Macaca fascicularis: one gene and its partners. The protein of the gene in region 1 purifies or fractionates together with the protein of each later gene. This does not show direct contact. Links are inferred from orthologs where the notes say so. Each region holds a gene or a part of one and is shown on either strand. Other genes may lie near its edges.

Region 1 (6,203 bases):
ACCACAGAAAGTGGAACTGTGGATACGTGTGGACTACTGTATGTAGGTATCTCTCAGCTCCCCTCCAGTGTACTCTAAGGGTAGAGACTACCTAAACTTTGTATCCCTCGTTGCTGGCACATAACAGACACTTAAGAAATGTATTTTCAACATTTTTTTTTTGAGACAGGGTCTCGCTCTGTCATCTAGGCTGGAGTGCAGTGGCCTGATCTCAGCTCACTGCAACCTCTGCCTCCCAGGTTCAAGCGATTCTCCTGCTCAGCTTCCTGATTAGCTGGGATTACAGGCAGGCACCACCATGCCCGGCCAATTTTTGTATTTTTAATAGAGATGGGGCTTCACCATGTTGGTCAGGCTGGTCTGGAACTCCCGACCTCAAGTGATCTGCCCACCTCGGCCTCCCAAAGTGCTGGGATTACAGGCATGAGCCACCACACTCGTCCTAAACAATTCAACTTTTAAATTATTTAGTTTTGGCCAGAATTTTAAAATCTACATTTACTAAATATTGGGCTAGTAATTACTACACTTGAGTATAAATCCCAGTTTAAACTGAATTGACACACTATTGAGTGTGAGACAGAATCACTTTCTTCTCAACTTCAAGTAATATGGAGGTTTGCAAGACGTTCAAATTGCCCTTCCAACTGTTCTCAACTTGGTGACATCCAAAGACCTCTAAGAATTAAAGAGAACCCATAAGGATTAGTCAGTCCCTTGTGCCTCCTCCCCCTTCATTCTCCATTCTTAAGTTCACCTGGTGAAGAAAAGAACTCTATTAGAGCTTCACTAAATTATTATTCTCAATCTATCCCCAAACAAATTAGTTTCTGCTAAGACTGTTGAATGCCTCACTTTTTTCTACTTCAATAGATGCAAATCACGTTTTGAAACAATACTGTACCTTACCAAAATACAAACAAGCTTCATAAAAGTATGACATTTAAAATATGAGACTCAGCAGGATACAGACAAAAAAATAGTAGAAAATGGAAATAAAGACTATGCCGAATTTCAAAGTACACAAATCCAATTAGAACTGCAGTTTACACTGGAAAACAAAGTTTTTTTTTAATGTTTACAACAGTTTTGAAGCCAAAATAAGTCAAAACTGGCTAATACTTAGGAAAGTATTTTACTCAACAATAAAACAAGAGGTCAAGTCTACCATAGCAACTAGTAGAAATAAGGTCACCAGCTAGTAAAGATTAAATCAGTTGTAAATTATTTTGTGGTTGCCTCTAATGGTGGCAAAATTTTGGAAAAACATTTCAATGACAGTAACATTTTTAAAAGCAGGATAAGCTCTGAAAATAACCAACTATCCTTTTGTGACTTTTTTTTTTTTTGGTACAGGAACTACCACAGCAAGCAGTGGTACTGCAAAAAGATATACAAATCAATCAATCATTGATTGGCCAACGATATGCAAAGTAGCAAAAACAATGCCTCTATGTATCCTCGCCATCAATCTATTCAAACATATAAAGATCTTACTGGCAAAATTATACAACTGTGTTAGATATGTGGTACGTACCTTATACAAATCGTTGAAAAGTTACATTTAAAAGGAGTCCCTCATTGGGTCCACAAAACTAATCTCTTCTTACCTCCCGCCCAGTCAGCACTTGCTACTGCACAGGGATAACAATCCACCCAGCTATCCGGAAAAGGGAGATGTCCCTCGCAAATTAAGAATGCAAAAGCCCAAACATATTTCATTAAGAGGTACTGAAAAAAGTTTAACTTCTAAAATTGTGTCCCAATTCTTCTTTTATTGTGCATAGAAAGGTGAAGCAAAGTATTCTCTTGTAAGAAAAGCTAACAAGGGCAGCCTTGAACACTTAATCGTTGTTCCTTGCAGTTACGGCCCTCTTCTAAACGCACTGTTACATTCACTTGATAAATAAAAGGAAAAAAATTTCCTAGAGGTCTTATAAGCGTTAGAATCTGTGTTGCAGTCGAGGAATGTATCTGATTTGTAACTGACACAATTCAAGCATTATTATTTAAAACAAGCACAATTTTAAAAACACAAAAATTTAAAAACTTAACCTTTCATTACAATGTATTACATTTAAACAAATCCAGTCTTCAACGGAGTAGCAAACATTTAAAGCCAACTAGTAGTTTTCTGTTTTCTAATATTTAAACCAGAACAAAGTCATTCCTGAAAAATAAAACAGTAAAGAGCTCTTGAGTTTCCTTGTTTTTAAAAAGCCTGAGCAACTAGTCACGAATATGACAGTTAATGGAGGGGGAAAAAAACACATTAAGCCAGTATTATTTTATTAAGCTTCTCATAAGGACCTGGGAAATACAAAAAAATAAAGCTTTTAGGAACACGGCAGTTAGGCACAATTTGTTTTAAATGTGTTACTACATAAAATGCAGTAAAGATACGACCAGCAGGTTCAAACCTTAAACGTCACTACTCTAGCAACAAACGACATCTTTTGCAAGGATGCCCATTATCAGACATCACAGCTCCGCGTTACCTCTAAGCAACGTCGTTCAGGAAAACCTTGCATTCTCACTTTCGCTCAACCTTTCAAAAGGTAATGCAGGGCCGGGGGATTTAACACTTTGTTTTCGAAAACAGGGTCTTATCTACAACTCTATTTTTAAACCACATCATAGGATTTGGGGTGAACGTTCTTTCATTTTAATCACTATGAGACCTGTGGGTGAGCTAACATCTTTTTGTTCCATCCAAACATCGCGCTTCCAATCTTCCTTTAGGTCCCCGGCCACCCATCTTCACAGGTATTTTCATAACAAAGGCCAAAAACGACTGGGCTTCAAAGGCATTGCAAGCCCTGGATTAACAAGGCAGGACCAGCGCACCGACTTTTATCTGTGGCTCCAAAAGTCAAATGACTTGTTGCAAACAAGCCTGCACCTCAGCCGCCTTCAGAAAGTGTGAAGGGAGGAGGAAGGCGCCACGCCGAAACCTGTCGCAAACTCGAGGAGAGCCCCAGGGACTGGGCGCGCGGGATACAAAGGGCCGTGAATGCGGCCTTCCATGAGGCGATAGTGCGCGGGTAGGGAGACAAAATGGAGCAATGGGAGGAATCTGAGCCCGAGCAGCAGCGGCGGGGAAGGGGCGGCGGCGGCGGGCGCGCGCCCTGCCGGGGCTTCCTCCTCCGGCCGGCGACGGGGGAGGGGGCGCGGCGGCGGCCAGTTCTCTCCGCCGCTTACACGCGGCCCCACCGCCCGGGCCTAGCGCGGCGGGAAGCGCCAGCCGGGTGCCGCCAACAATAGGGAGCGAGGCAGCGCCGGCGAGGGAGGAGCCGGCGGCAGCTGCACAGCGGCCCGCATCCGCGCTCCGGGCCCCGCGACGGGTCGCCGCGCCCGCGGCCCGTGAAACGACGCGGTAGAACGAAGGGCGGGGGGGGGGGGGCCGCCACGCCGGGGGTCGCGGCGCGGCCCAGAGGCGGCAAGGGCGCATAGTCTGCAGTCGCTTCGGCTCGCGGCCGCAGCGGGCCCCGGGTCAGCGTCCCAGCCGCAGCGCCGCCCGCGTCGGCGACGGGGACCCGGGCTCTCACGTACCTGGTTGAACTCTTCGCCCACATCCGCGTAAATGTCTATGTGGTCCACGCCGTCCGCCATCTTCCCTCAGCCTCGGCCGCCACCGCCGCCGCCGCCGCCGCCTCCTCCTGCAGGTCCGCCCGCCGCGGCAGCAGCAGCGGATCTAGCGGCGGTGGGGGGCGCTTGCGTCACTTCCGAGGCCCGAGGGATGGAGGCGGGAGCGACAGGGGCCGGCCGGGGGCGGGGACTGTGCAACCCAGCCGCTCGGCTGGCTGAGGAAAGGCTGCTCCTCTAAGGGCAGAGGGCGTTTCTTTTGTGTCTGGGTGAGGCCCGGGAGTGGGGGGCAATTTCTTTGTCCTCCTCGCGCATCCAGTTTACCAGTGGGTCCCACCTGTTTCCACACATCGTCTTTTCACGTGGCCTCTGCCATACTCAAACGTTTTGTTAATATTTTCATTTATCCGTTTTTCTTACCTTTCACACATGCAGGACTGCTAAAGGTGGAAGTTATATGTTCATGGTTAAATACAAAGTGTAACCCCCGGGCATTCTGTGAGCGGCTTAAGGCCAAAAACAATGTGTTGTTTCTGCATCCTCAGAGACAAGCAGAGTTTTATTTGCATGTAAACGCTAGATACCCGTCAGTGGTTATATTTGCACGCTGTTTATGTTGCCATTTCCATCTCTAATCTTCATGGGCTTCTTTCCTCTCCCCTTCCTCTCGCATTCATTGCCCTTCATTTTTTCTTCCTTAGATCTACAGTAGGTTGTCTCTGGCATAGTTCAGATGCTTCTAAAATGAATGCAGTCATCTTACAGCACACCCAAGAGGGTGGAGGTCTCTTGAGGCCAGGGGCTTCTTTCTCAGAATCCTAGAATGTCCCAGCGGGAAGGGAACTGGAAAGGTGTCCTTAGGTCCAAACATCTCATTTTACAGAGGAGAAGACTGAAGCCTAATAGAACCTAAGTGATTTAACCAGGTCACATGGTCAATAAAGGTAGGAACATTCAGCCACGATACTTTACTCAAGGATGTCTCTCCAGTTTGAAACTTTCCCCTCCGTTCTTTATTTCTTTTTCACTCATTAAGAAATATACTATAGTAGAGCGTGTTTCCTGAGAAACTGGCGAGAAATCATCCATAGAATAACCCAAACAACATCTGTAAGGTTGGGCATCTCTAATCCAACAATTTGAAACGCTCCAAAATCTGAAACTTTTTGTGCACTGACATGATGCCGCAAGTGAAAAATTCCACACCTGATCTTATGTGCCAGGTTGCAGTCAAAATGCAATCAAAACTTTGTTTCATGCACAAAATAACTAAAAATATTGTATGACATAATCTTCAGGCTATGTGTATAAGGTATATGTGAAACATAAATGAATTTCGTTTAGACTTGGGTCCCATCCCCTAGATATGTTATGTATACACAAATATTCCAAAATCCACCAAAATCCAAAATCCAAACACTTCTAGTCCCAAGCATTTTGCATAAAAAAGACTCAATCTGCACTTGGTATGGTGGAAAAAGCTTGGTTGCAGTCATGGAGACCAGATCTGGGTACCCATTTCTAATCAGACATTTTATCAGCTAAATGACCTCAGTCAAGTTTTCAACTCTCATAATCAATCTCAGAATCTTTAAAATCCAGGCAATAATATCTACCTCACCAAGGCTGAAGGTTGGTGATACTTTAAATGAGTTAACATGAGTTAATATGCAAAGTGCCCTGTCCTGTTCCAAGAATCAGTACTTAAATACTGATTCACTTTCTTTCATAGGGCGTTATAGAAGAAAAGAGACACTGAAGTTTAAAGACGAGAGCATTTTCTAGATTGGTGGTGTGGTAGAATGATGGCCCACCATAGATGTTCATATTCTTATCCCTGAAATCTGTGAATATGTTACCTTTGCAGATATGATGAAGTTAAGGATCTTGAGATAGAGATAGGGATACCTTGATTGCCCAGTAGGCTCAAAGTAATTGCAAGGGTCTTTAGAAGTGAGAGAGGGAGGCAGTAGAATCAGAGAAGATGCAAAGATTTCTATTGCAGTTTATTTTCTTTCAATACAATTAAAAACCATTCCAGCCAGCATGGAGGCTCATGCCTGTAATCTCAGAACTTTGGGACGCCATGGAGGGAAAATTGCTTGAGCCCATGAGTTTGGGACGAGCCTGGGCAACATAGGGATACCTTGTCTCTACAAAAAAATAAAAAAATTAGCCAGGCATAATGGTGTGCACATGTAGTCCCAGCTACTCGGGAGGCTGAGTTGGAAGGATCACTTGAGCCTGGGAGATTGAGGCTGCAGTGAGCCATAATTGTACCACTGCATTCCAGCCTGCGTGACAGAGTGAGACCCTGTCTCAAAAAAAAAAAAAAAAAAAAAAAAAAAATTATTTCAAGGCTCTGACTTCTATTGTTGTCTGTAAAAAGTCAGCTGTCAATTGACTATTGCCTCTTTGGAGTTAATTGGTCCTATTTTTTCTGGTTGTTAAGATTTTTCTCTTAGACTTTAGTTTTCTGTTCTCTTACCATGTGTGCTTGGAAGTGTATTTCTTGTTATTTGTGATGCTCAGGATTCACTGAACCTCTTGAATATATATAGATGTGTTTCATGAGTTCTGGAAAATTCTCAACCATTATCTCTTCAAATTTTGTTTCT
Region 2 (6,012 bases), on another chromosome or scaffold:
CTGCACCGTTTCAGGATGCATGAAGACATCGTTGTATAACACAAACTTTTTTTTTGTTGTCCATGCTGGAATGCAGTCGCATGATTTCAGCTCACTGCAGCCTCAACCTGGCAGGCTCAAGTGATCCTCCCACCTCAGCCTCCCGAGTAGCTGGGACTACAGACCTGCACTACCACACCCAGCTAATTTCTGTATCTTTTGTAGAGACGGGTCTCACTATGTTGCCCAGGCTGGTCTCGAACTCCTGGTCTTAAATGACCTACTTGCTGGGCCTCTCAAAGTGCTAGGATTACAGGCATGAGCCAGTGTGCCCGGCCAATAACACCATTTTTTTTTTAGAAAGAAAATTTAAATCCAGCAACAAAAGAAAAGAGGAAATATTTACTGTTAAGTCCTAGGGATCAAGTTCATTAAGTTCACTTGCTTATCAAGCGAATAAATAAATCATAGCCTGTCTTACCTTGGAGGTGACATCAATTCCAGTGATGAAGCTGCCAGCCTTGTTTTCGTATCTTCTGCTCGTGTCCTAACACAAAGGGGAAGGGTGAGAAATTCAGACAGCAATTGAGGAAAAACCTATGATAAAAGTCGGGCTGACAGCTGGTTCTTCTTTTTTATTTTTTTTTCATTTTTATTTTTTTGTGACAGTGTCTCGCTCTGTTGACCAGGCTGGAGTGCAGTAGAATGATCACAGCTCACTGCAGCCTCGACTCCCCAGGCTCAAGCCATCCTCCCACCTCAGCTTCCCCAGTAGCTGGGCCCTCAGGAATATGCCACCACACCCAGCTCATTTTTTTTTTAATTTTTGTAGAGACAGGGTCTCCCTATGTTGCCCAGGCTGGTCTCCAACTCCTGGGCTAAAGCAGTCCTCCTGCCTCAATCTCCCAAAGTGTTAGGATGACATGCATGAGCCACCACCCAGAGTCTGGTTCTTTTTGTTTATGTGTTTGTGTTTTGAGATGGAGTCTTGCTCTATCACCTAGGCTGGAGGGCAGTGGTGCAAACTCGGCTCACTGCAACTGCTACCTCCCGGGTTCCAGTGATGCTCCTGCCTCAGCCTCCTGAGTAGCTGGGATTACAGGTGTGCGCCACCATGGCCAGCTAATTTTTGTATTTTTAGTAGAGACGAGGTTTCACCATGTCGGCCGGCTGGTCTCAAACTCCTGACCTCAGGTGATCTGTCTGTCTCAGCCTGCCAAAGTGCTGGGATTACAGGCATGAGCCACCGCACCTGGCCAGTCTGGTTCTTTTTGAAGAGTCATTCTTTTCAAAACCCTTCCCCACCCCTGACAACCTTTTATTAAGAAGCCCCATCCCAGTGATTCCATGGTATCAATCAACCACTCCAATAAGAAGAGCAGAGCCTGTCCAAAACCTGAAGTGATTCCATCAACTGAAAGTATCCATGTACAGAAAAATCTAAAGGCTTTTGTGGAAAATGTCAAAAGATGAAGCACAGTCACTTCGCTCCCCAACCTAGTCTGAACGAATTCCCCATGCCCAGCCACCAGGTGGAGCCCAACCCTCCACCTCAATGCAGAAGTCCAGCCTCACCTAGAATTCCTGAGGCAAATACAGCACAGTGCAATGCAAAGGGGATGGGATTTGGAAACCAAGCGAGGACGGAAGCCTCAGCTCTGACGGTCACTAATTACAGGACACTGTATAGTTTCCTTGACCTCTCTGGGTCCCAGTTTCCTGCGTGGTATCTACCTGCCTTCCTGACCTCTTTTACTGCCCTTCCATTAGCGCTACAGAACTTTGCAACGATCCTGGACCCACCCCAGACCCTCTGTGCTTGCTATTGCCCCGGCTGGGGGAACCCCTTTTCAGTCTTCACAAGGTTGGCTCCTTTTTGTCATTGAGAGTTTATATGGAGCATACACTCCAGCAGGGAGGTTGATCTTGATCAAGCACCTAGGGCTGTGTCTTGGTACATAGTGGGGGATGCAATAAATACATGTTGGCCAGGCACGGTGGCTCATGCCTGTAATCCCAGCACTCTGGGAGGTAGAGGCGGGAGGATCACCTGAGGTCAGGAGTTCGAGACCAGCCCGGCCAACATGGAGAAATCCTGTCTCTACTAAAAATACAAGATTAGCTGGACATGGTGGCACACCCCCGTAATTTCAGCTACTTGGGAGGCTGAGGCAGGAGAATCACTTGAACCCAGGAGGTGGAGGTTGTGGTAAACCGAGATCGCACCATTGGGCTCAGCTACTCAGGAGGCTGAGGCAGGAGAATCGCTTGAACCCGGGAGGCAGAGGTTGCGGTGAGCTGAGATTGCGCCATCGCGCTCCAGCCTGGGTAACAAGAGCGAAACTCCGTCTCAAAACAAAACAAAAACCATGTCGAACTGAATGACTGAAAGGATGATAACACCTACTTCACAACTGCAGTGATACTTATTTTGGTTTTGTTTTGTTTTTGAGATGGGGAGAGGCGAAAGGAGGGACCTCGAAGGGGTGTTGCTATATTACTGAGGCTGGTCTGGAACTTAGACTCCTGAACAGCTGGCACTAAAGGTGTGCATGGCCAGTATATTTAAGTGACACAATGTAGTGAATGGTAAATGCTAATATATTAGCTGTTGTTAATCATAATCAATAACGTTTGCCATCTCTAGCGATCATACCTTAACCTTTCTCCATAACTTCAGTCTAAATATGTTGACATGTGGTGAAAAGTAGTTCATATTAAGTTAGAAATTAAGAGGAGTCATCCAGGCCTCAAATCAGCTCTAAGAACTGGATCTACAGCCACCAAGTCACAAGCAAAACACCTCACCATCCCCAGCGCGGTAAATGAGGGATCAAGGGCGTCTATTGATCGTTTGCTAGTTTACTTTCATTAAGAGTGAGATGCTGGGGCCACGGTGTAGGTGCCAGTGGAGCTGCGGCGGGGGGGGTGGGGGGGTGGGGGGCGGGTGGCGCAAGATGACCCTGAAGTCACGACAGAAACAGTGAGTTTCTGCTGCTGACAAGTGCAGCCCTCCCAAGAGAAAGAGCGAGTGCCATGTTTCACAGATACAAATTCCTCCGGGGCAAGACCCACAGGAGAGACCTGGTTGCTGGCGCCACCCAACAGCTCCTTCTGGGCTGCTCCCGGTTCTGTTCCCGCCCAGGGCTCCCCCTTTATCTCAGCCCTCCAGACACTCCTCACTCACCCCTTTGCACAGCACGGCTCGGAGGGGGCAGCGGAGGGGGGTCCTCAACTCTCTCCCAGCTCTCCGCCACCCCCTCCAGCCCCCTCAACACCCATTTCCGGCGCACCGGCGTCCTTTCTCCCGCTCCGCGTCCCTCCTCCAGCCCGGCGCCCTCGTCCCCAGGACGCTGGCTCCCTTCTCTCCCGCTCCCCAGACTTCCCCGGCTGGGGCTCCAGCCACCGCCCCTTCCGGCCCCCTCCGGCGCTGGGCACTAGCCCCGCGACCTCCTCCTTGCCCCCCGACCCCCGCCCGTACCGGGATCAGTTCCTTGAGCGAGCGCCGCACGGGCACGATTTCCAGCTCGCCCTCCTCCACCTCCATGGGCTCCGGCTCGCCACGGTCAACACCCGACTCCGCCTCAGGGGACGGGAGCCCCAGGTCTGGCCCCGCCGGGGCCTCCGCCTTCACCGACACCCGCAGGCCCCGTACGGCCGCCATAGCTGCCTGCCGGCCGCACCACCGAGAGCCCGCCCCTTACGGCCGCCGGCTAGAGCGCCGCAGCCACTGGCCACAGAGGAGCCGCCGCAGCTACCTAGAGCGTCGCCGGCTTCGGCCAGAAGGCCGCCCTCAGCGCCGCCGCCCCCTGGTGGCGGGAGGAACCCGGGCGTGCTGCGCGGGCGGGACCTGGGGAGGAGAAGGCGGGACTGAGCGGGGACGGGGGCGGGGCCTGCGGGAGCGACGGAGCTTGGAGGAGACCGGGGTAGTCAAGGGTTACAATGTAGCTACGCCTTGAGGCTAAACCTGTACTAAAAGCCACCTTTACTGAGCGATCACCATGGGCCAGACACTTCCAAGCGCTCGAACCCTTAGAACAACTCTATGAAGTAGATCCCATTATGACCCCCATTTCATATATGAGGAAACTGAGGTATAGAAATTGATCCGAGGTGACGCCATTTAAGGGATAAAAGCTGGATCTAAGTCTTCCGGAGTTTACGATGAGCCTTGATATATCACCTCTGGGCAATCTGTAGGTTTATAACGTTACTTGCCTTGCCTGCCTTTGTCTCTTAAAAGTCTCCCCAAAATTGGCCCATGTTACATACACAAAATTTGAGACCTGCCCAAAGGCCAGAACTTGGACACTGATTTCCTGACTCCTGAGGGTGCCATCCACTGTAGACCTGTGAGCGTAGTTTCCTGCGGATACTTCTAGCCTAGTGGGGGAGGGGGGTTGTCTAGGCATCCCGAGGGTGTCACTGATCAGCTGTTAGGTTCTGAGTCCTGATTTTCTTTCTCTTTCTTTCTTTCTTTCTTTCTTCCTTCCTTCCTTTCTTCCTTTCTTCCTTTCTTTTTTCTTCCTTCCTTCCTTCCTTTCTTCTCTTTCTTTTCTTCATTTCTCTTTTTCTTCCTTCCTCTCTTTTCTTTCTTTCATTCTTTTCTTTCTTTCTTTTCTTTCTTTCCTTCTTTCTTTCTTTCTTTCTCTTTCTTTCTTATTTTTTGCAGAGACAGACTTTCACCATGTTAGCTAAGCTGATCTCGAACTCCTAACCTTAAGCCATCCACCCACCTCGGCCTCCCAAAGTCCTGGGATTACAGGCGTGAGCCGCTGCGCCTGGCCTGAGTCCTGATTTTGCGTCTTCCTCCCTGGGTAGCTTTGGACAGGTTTTTGGGTCTGTTTTTGCATCTGAGGAGGGCGTAGGTGAGACCCTGCAGTCTCTGAGGCCCTGCCAGCGCTGACCATGGAGGAGCAAATAATGATAAACTAAGGAAGACCATGGTCCGCATCGGACACACCTGGGTTTCGAGCTGGCTGGCCCTGCCCCATCCACCATGTGTGACCTTAGGCAAGCTGCTTAGCACTTTGGAGTCTCAGTTCCTTCATCAGTAAAATGGACCATTACCTACCTCTAAAGGAGGTTGTGAGGATTAAATGTGATAATTTATATGTAGATACAGGGTCTAACAGAAGGGATGGTTTTTCTTAATTTTGGGCTACATCATAGTTTTTCTTAAATTTGGGCTAAATCGTAGGATAAACACAAGACACAGCTCTTTAGAGGACTAGTTTTATTTGATGAATGGGATACAAAGTAGTTTTAAAAATCGGGTTGAGGCCGGGCATGGTGGCTCATGCCCGAATCCCAACACTTTGGGAGGCCAAGGCGGGCAGATCACAAGGTCAGGAGATTGAGACCATCCTGGCTAACATGGTGAAACCCCATCTCTACTAAAAAAATAAAATAAAATAGCTGGGTGTAGTGGCATGCACTGCTCGGGAGGCTGAGGCAGGAGAATCACTTGAACCCAGGAGGTGGAAGTTGCAGTGAGCTGACATCGCACCGCTGCACTCCAGACTGAGCGACAGAGCAAGACTCTGTCTCCAAAACAAATTTTAAAAAATTGGGTTGAATGCATACATAGAATGCGTGTGTGTGTGTGTGTGTGTGTGTGTGTGTGTTATTTCGAGCAAAATGTGTAGTTGGGGTGGCCAGCTATAGGTGACAGTCACAGCTCTCACCATTACTAGGTCTGTGGGGTGAGAGGATGGGAGAGGAAGGCTGGGCAGGCCCTTCTCCCTGCTGGGGAGGAGCCTTGTTGCTTGAGGACTCAATTCAGTGAGGATTCAGTGTTGCAGTTTGGTGCCATTCAGAAGAGCCCCAGCGCCCTGGCACACCAGCTGGCAGGTACATGAGGAGTCCAGGACAAGCCGGGACATCGGGCAATCATCAAGGCTCCTAGCACTTGTCAGGAAAGCCCTCTGTGCCTTGTTCTTTCTGGTCACCTTGCTCACCGTCTCCCACCCCCTTTCCTGTTCGCAGTGCCGCCCTGCTGAGTTGGAGCCACAGAGAATTTAGGAAGGTGGT
Region 3 (5,471 bases), on another chromosome or scaffold:
AGCATGGCCAGCAGGAGCAGAGGGGACAGAGAACTAAGCCTGCTGGGGACACAGGAAGCCCTCACCCAGGAGGCAGGCTACTGTGTTGGATCATATCCTGGATCAGGAAAATTTAAGAAGAAAATTTTAGAATTATTGAGGAAATTTGAATATGGAATAAATAATAGATGATATTAGGCCAGGCACGTAGTGGCTCAGGCCTATTATCTTAGCATTTTGGGAAGCCAAGGTGGGCAGATCACTCAAGCCCATAAGTTGAATACCAGCATGGGCAACATGGTAAAACCCTACTTTCTCTACCAAAAAGACAAAAATTGGCCAGGCATGGTGGTGCCGACTGTAGCCCCAGCTACCTGGGGGGCTGAGGTGGGAGGATCACTTGAGCCAGAAAGCAGAGGTTGCAGTGAGCCGAGATCACGCCACTGCACTCCAGCCTGGGCGACAGAGCAAGACCCTGTCTCTATATTATTATATTTAATAATATAAAATTAGTGCTATTCTTACACGTTATAATAGTATTATTGTTACAATGGAGGACATCCTAATTCATCTCTCAGAAGATGAATGCTTAAGTATTTAGGAGTGAAGTATCCTAATATGTGTAGCATGCAGTGTCTGTGTAAAGAAAGTATATGCAATGTGGCAAAATGTTAATTGCTCAATCTATGTGGAGGATACAGAGTTGTTTATTGTACTAGTCTTTCAAAATAAAAAAAAATACAAAGATGCTCTAATAATTCCTTCCTGCACCTTCCTGGATGGTGCTGGCTATGCAGGGATGTACACTCTCCACTGTGGAGACCACTGCTGTAGATGATGGGGACCTGTGGAAACTGTGAGCAGGGGAATACACTGATCGGGTAAGCATACTGCAAAGACACTCTAGCAGCACCATGGAAGGGCATGCTGAAAGGCAGGTGGGGAGAAAAGCTGGAGAGAACACAAAGCCAAGAGACCAGTAAGGAGCCTCCGTAACAGCAGAGGCAAGCAATGACAGTGCCCACTGTAGGGCCAAGGCAAGCAGGACCCCTACTTATGAGGTATGACTAGCAAAACGAGATGATTTACTGGATGTGAGAGAAAAAAGGGGGACATACTGATGATCAAGTTTCTCACTGACGCAACAAGAAATGGTGGTAACAAGCGCAGGAAATACAGCATGTGTAGCAGGTTGGCAGGGTGAGTTGTATTCTGGTTTTTAACATGTAAGGTTTGAAGTTTCCTGTGACAGAGATGGAGCTGTCATGTAAACAACAGGGTAAGTTTTATGACTTGCCTGGGCCTCGATGGTGACCACGTGGTAACAAGCAGCAATTGTGCTCCTTTACATGGATTGTGATGACCAAGGCAACTTACATTCAATGGGAAATTTTTCAATATATTATTGTATGTTATTTATCTACCTTTGCCATTGACCTGTTGTATTTAACTCAGTGCTACTAACAACCCTAGAGGTAGCCATTTCTTTCCTTTGATAGAGGAATAAGCCAAGGCTCAGACAGGATAAGAAACCAAAGTTCCACAGTTATTAAGTTCTGAGCTGGGGATTAATCTGATGATACGTGGGTGCCTCTCGGTGTCTGCGGGGAACTGGTTCCAGGACATCCTGAGGACACCGAAATCCACAGATGCTCAAGTCGCTGATATAAAATGGTATAGTGCTTGCATGCAACCTACATACATCTTCCTATATACTTTAGTTGATCTCTAGTTATTTATAATACCTGCTACAATGTAAATGGTATGTAAATAGTTGTTATACTGTATTGTTTAGGGAATAATGACAAGGGGGAAAAGTCTGTACATGTTCAATAAAGACACAGGTTTTTTTTTTTCCCCTCCAACTGTTTTCCATCTGAGGCTGGCTGAGCACATGGATGTGAAATCCACAGATGTAAAACCCATGGATACGGAGGGTTGGCTGTAACTGAAGCCACTGCAGCCTAAGCTAATACTTGCAAACTAAGTACAAATAAAAAAGGTACTTTGGTCTGGTCATGGTGGCTCACACCTGTAATCCCAGCACTTTGGGAGGCTGGGGAGGGCGGATCACCTGAGGTCAGGCATTGGAGACCAGCCTAGCCAACATGGTGAAGCTCCGTCTCTACTAAAAATATAAAAATTAGCCAGGCATGGTGACAGGCGCCTGTAATCCCAGCTATTCGGGAGACTGAGGCAGGAGAATTGCTTGAGTCCAGGAGGCAAAGGTTGCAGTGAGCTGAGATTGCACCACTGCACTCCAGCCTGGGCAACTAGACTGAGACTGTCTCAAAATAAATAAATAAATAAATAAATAAATAAATAAATAAAATAGAAATAATTAAAAAGATACTTTGTAAATTACTTTCTATATGAAACTTCGGCCGGGCGCGGTGGCTCACGAGGTCAGGAGTTTGAGATCAGCCTGACCAACATGGTGAAAACCCGTCTCTGCTGAAAATACAATAATTAGCCAGGCGTGGTGGCACATGCTTGTAATCCCAGCTACTCAGGAGGCTGGGGCGGCAGAATCGCTTGAATCCGGGAGGCAGAGGTTGCAGTGAGCTGAGATCACGCCACTGCACTCAAACCTGGGCAACAGAGCAAGACTCAATCTCAAAAAGAAAAAAGAAACCTCAAGAGAAAAATTGAACTGCAACAGCAACAATAAATCTGGATAAGGTACATCTCGCTACTGCCCTTTCCCAGACATGAACCTACATTCTATGTAAGCACCTTCAAACACTCCCTATACAGGGGAACAGGAGCTGACCACGTCCAGCCAAGTAAAGAAAGCAAATCCTTAGGAGGATTCATCATAGCCAGCGTGTAACAAAGCCAGCTCACTTAGCGTGCAATTCCAGACTCTGGAACCAAAGGGGCTGTATAATGTCTTGGGTGGTTTGCACGGCTGGCTCATCAATTACTCACTGTGTGTTAAACAGTCTTGTCAGCAGAGGGAGCAGAGGAGGTTTCAGAGCTTTTCCACCATGAGTCAGAATGGAAACCAACTGTGTTACCCAGTTTCACTTACTAGAGTCACTCAGCATTGACTCCCAAAATAAAGGTTTGAATAAGTCAAGCCTTCTTAGGTAGACAAGAACACAAGAGCCAACCTATAATCTGTCATCACATCTAAATCCATGCCAATTCCTTGAAAATTACAATCCTGGGCCCGTTATCAATAGTAGGGTCCTATAATCAGGAACAAATATCAAAAGACAATATGACACTTCTTTCTCAATAGAGTCAAAGAGGAGGTATACTTTTCTTGAATAGAAACAAAACAAAACAAAAAAAACTATAATAATATCAGATAGAAGAAGATACAAATGATAAACTAAACTACACATTCTAGAAAGATGTAGTTTTACATCTTTTTACAAAAACCTTTTTACAAAAACCTTCCAGTTTTTGCAAATGATGCTGCTGACTATAAATATATTAAAAATGAGAACTGATCAGAAATAAGATTTGGTATGCAGAGAGCAAGAGATAGTCTAGTGGCATAGAACATGTATTTAAATCACATTACTTCTTCATGAGTATAAAAGTAATAAAAATGATTAGCACACACAAACAGGGCTTGGCCACTTCCAGCCAGTTCCTTCATAGCATTTGTTAACGGCACGTCCCTGGAGTCAGTAATGGCAGACAGTTGATGGGAAGAACACTTACCTTTTGGCAAATCCCCAGTACTGGAGGCTGAAACCGTCCTGCTTCTGTCATGGGATGGACTGCTCTCCTCTTGCTCAGTAAGTGGTGATCCCTCAGAAAGCACAGAGCCGCAGGCCACAGGTTCTAAGGATCCAGAGAACAACGAGGTGGAAAACTCTGGGAACTGTGACTCGGGAATTTTATGTCGTCCATTTGGCAATTCACCATTGAATTGTTCATAGGAGCTGCTATATGTGTAATCACTTTCTGCATTTGGCTCATCAAGATTATATTCCTCAGGATTTGGGCAGTCTTCTTCGTCATCCTCTTCATCGTCCAGTTGCTGCTCCAGTGAGAATGGGCCATTCTCAATATGGCCATTGGTTTTAGGTGATTCTATCCACGTAGGGTCTATGTTCGCAAGTTCCTGATCTACATCATCTTCATCTTTTTCAATGTTTTCTTTCTCAGCATCTTCTTTCTCTTCCTGGTCCTCAGCTTCACCTTAAGAAGTTGATGGGTCAAGAATAAGAACTTGTTACTGTCCTTAATACGGCCTCACTAAGTACTTATCTCCATCAATAAAACACGTTTTGAATGTGTTTAACTTATGTACCACCTAGTAAACACCTCTTTGCTTTTGGGGTAAAAGCTTCAGGTTTTCTAAATCTCATTTTTCATTCATTTAATAATTGGCCTGCTCTTATAAGAAAAAGTTACCCTTAAGGGAAAATAACTCTTTCTAAATAAAGTTGCACTTCCATTTCTACCTTCTACAATCTTCAGAAATAGACTTGTGGTGCATTACAGTTAGGTAAAAAGTTAATGACAAAATAAAGCACCATCATTAGCATGACAGAAACATGGTATTTCTCAGACGTTTTACATTTTTTAAAAACTATTTTGAAATGTTAACATATTTCTGGCATACAGTTCACAAATGATGAAGTACAAGGCTGTCTCCCATATTTCCCAGTAGGGAGTTGGAGAGAATCGGACTTGTCATCTGCAGCAGCAGCACAAATCAGCCCCCAAGCTGACTGGGTAGGACCCTACTAATGGAGCTCTGAGGACCCCATGCAGCACAGGTTCGAGGCCCCACTGACCATTGTCCTTTGCAGTCTCTGTCTCAGCCGCCTCCTCTAATCCTGTTGTTTTTAGTTTCACCTCTGGGCAGTATTCGCCATCCTGGTCATTGGAAGGTGCAGCTGAGGTGATGTTTTCTTCTATTATTTTCCTTTCAGCTTCTCGCTCCAATTCTTCTATCTCCTGCAGGCGTTTCTCCAATAACTCAGCCTGCCTCTTCTGTTTCTTTTTCAGTTTTTTCTTTTTGTTTTTAGATATTTTTCCTATCTATAACATGTTAAGAAAAGACCACAGGTCAGTTTTCTTCTTTTTAAAGTACCACATGATAGTATAACTGCTAGCAGCACGGCAAATACCAATAAATTCTGCTTTCTCATGCCATATTCTACTAAAATCCCAAACCCAGACAGATCTACTTTGTGGTAAGGCTTACAGTAAAATCAAAGGGAAAGCAGTGCTGACTGATCTCACGTGCTGGGTCTACCACCAGGTCCTACCCTCAAAGGGATAGAGCTTAAATCCAGTAAGTCTTCACCATTCAAACCCTAAGAGAACTGAAGTTTGAAATTCTCTTGGCCTTAAAGGAGAAGCTCCTCTTGCAAGTTTTATTTGCTGCTGTCTATATACAAAGTAACAACATCCCACCTCCTCAATGCCAAAAGTGAAACAGGTGCCTGAGCAGGTGTATGTCACTGTGTGTCTGGGGCTCACATATGAAGCTCTTAGCAGCCAAGACAACATGAATTCTA

Evidence for each region.
Region 2: the proteins of CPSF6 (region 1) and NCBP3 purify together in Homo sapiens (co-immunoprecipitation; 3 studies listed by BioGRID and IntAct, with this or other methods). This does not show direct contact. The link is inferred for Macaca fascicularis from reciprocal best matches to the Homo sapiens genes CPSF6 and NCBP3.
Region 3: the proteins of CPSF6 (region 1) and SRPK2 purify together in Homo sapiens (affinity purification with mass spectrometry; 3 studies listed by BioGRID and IntAct, with this or other methods). This does not show direct contact. The link is inferred for Macaca fascicularis from reciprocal best matches to the Homo sapiens genes CPSF6 and SRPK2.

The regions. Positions count from the first base shown.
Region 1 is NC_088385.1:76,003,793-76,009,995, reverse strand, and holds the start of CPSF6 (cleavage and polyadenylation specificity factor subunit 6), read right to left. Parts: upstream 3,700-6,203; 5' UTR 3,613-3,699; coding exon 3,553-3,612; intron 1-3,552. UniProt on the Homo sapiens protein: Component of the cleavage factor Im (CFIm) complex that functions as an activator of the pre-mRNA 3'-end cleavage and polyadenylation processing required for the maturation of pre-mRNA into functional mRNAs.
Region 2 is NC_088390.1:3,888,954-3,894,965, forward strand, and holds the start of NCBP3 (nuclear cap-binding protein subunit 3), read right to left. Parts: upstream 3,667-6,012; 5' UTR 3,644-3,666; coding exon 3,461-3,643; intron 527-3,460; coding exon 461-526; intron 1-460. UniProt on the Homo sapiens protein: Associates with NCBP1/CBP80 to form an alternative cap-binding complex (CBC) which plays a key role in mRNA export. NCBP3 serves as adapter protein linking the capped RNAs (m7GpppG-capped RNA) to NCBP1/CBP80.
Region 3 is NC_088377.1:146,651,326-146,656,796, forward strand, and holds part of SRPK2 (SRSF protein kinase 2), read right to left. Parts: intron 4,990-5,471; coding exon 4,743-4,989; intron 4,141-4,742; coding exon 3,658-4,140; intron 1-3,657. UniProt on the Homo sapiens protein: Serine/arginine-rich protein-specific kinase which specifically phosphorylates its substrates at serine residues located in regions rich in arginine/serine dipeptides, known as RS domains and is involved in the phosphorylation of SR splicing factors and the regulation of splicing.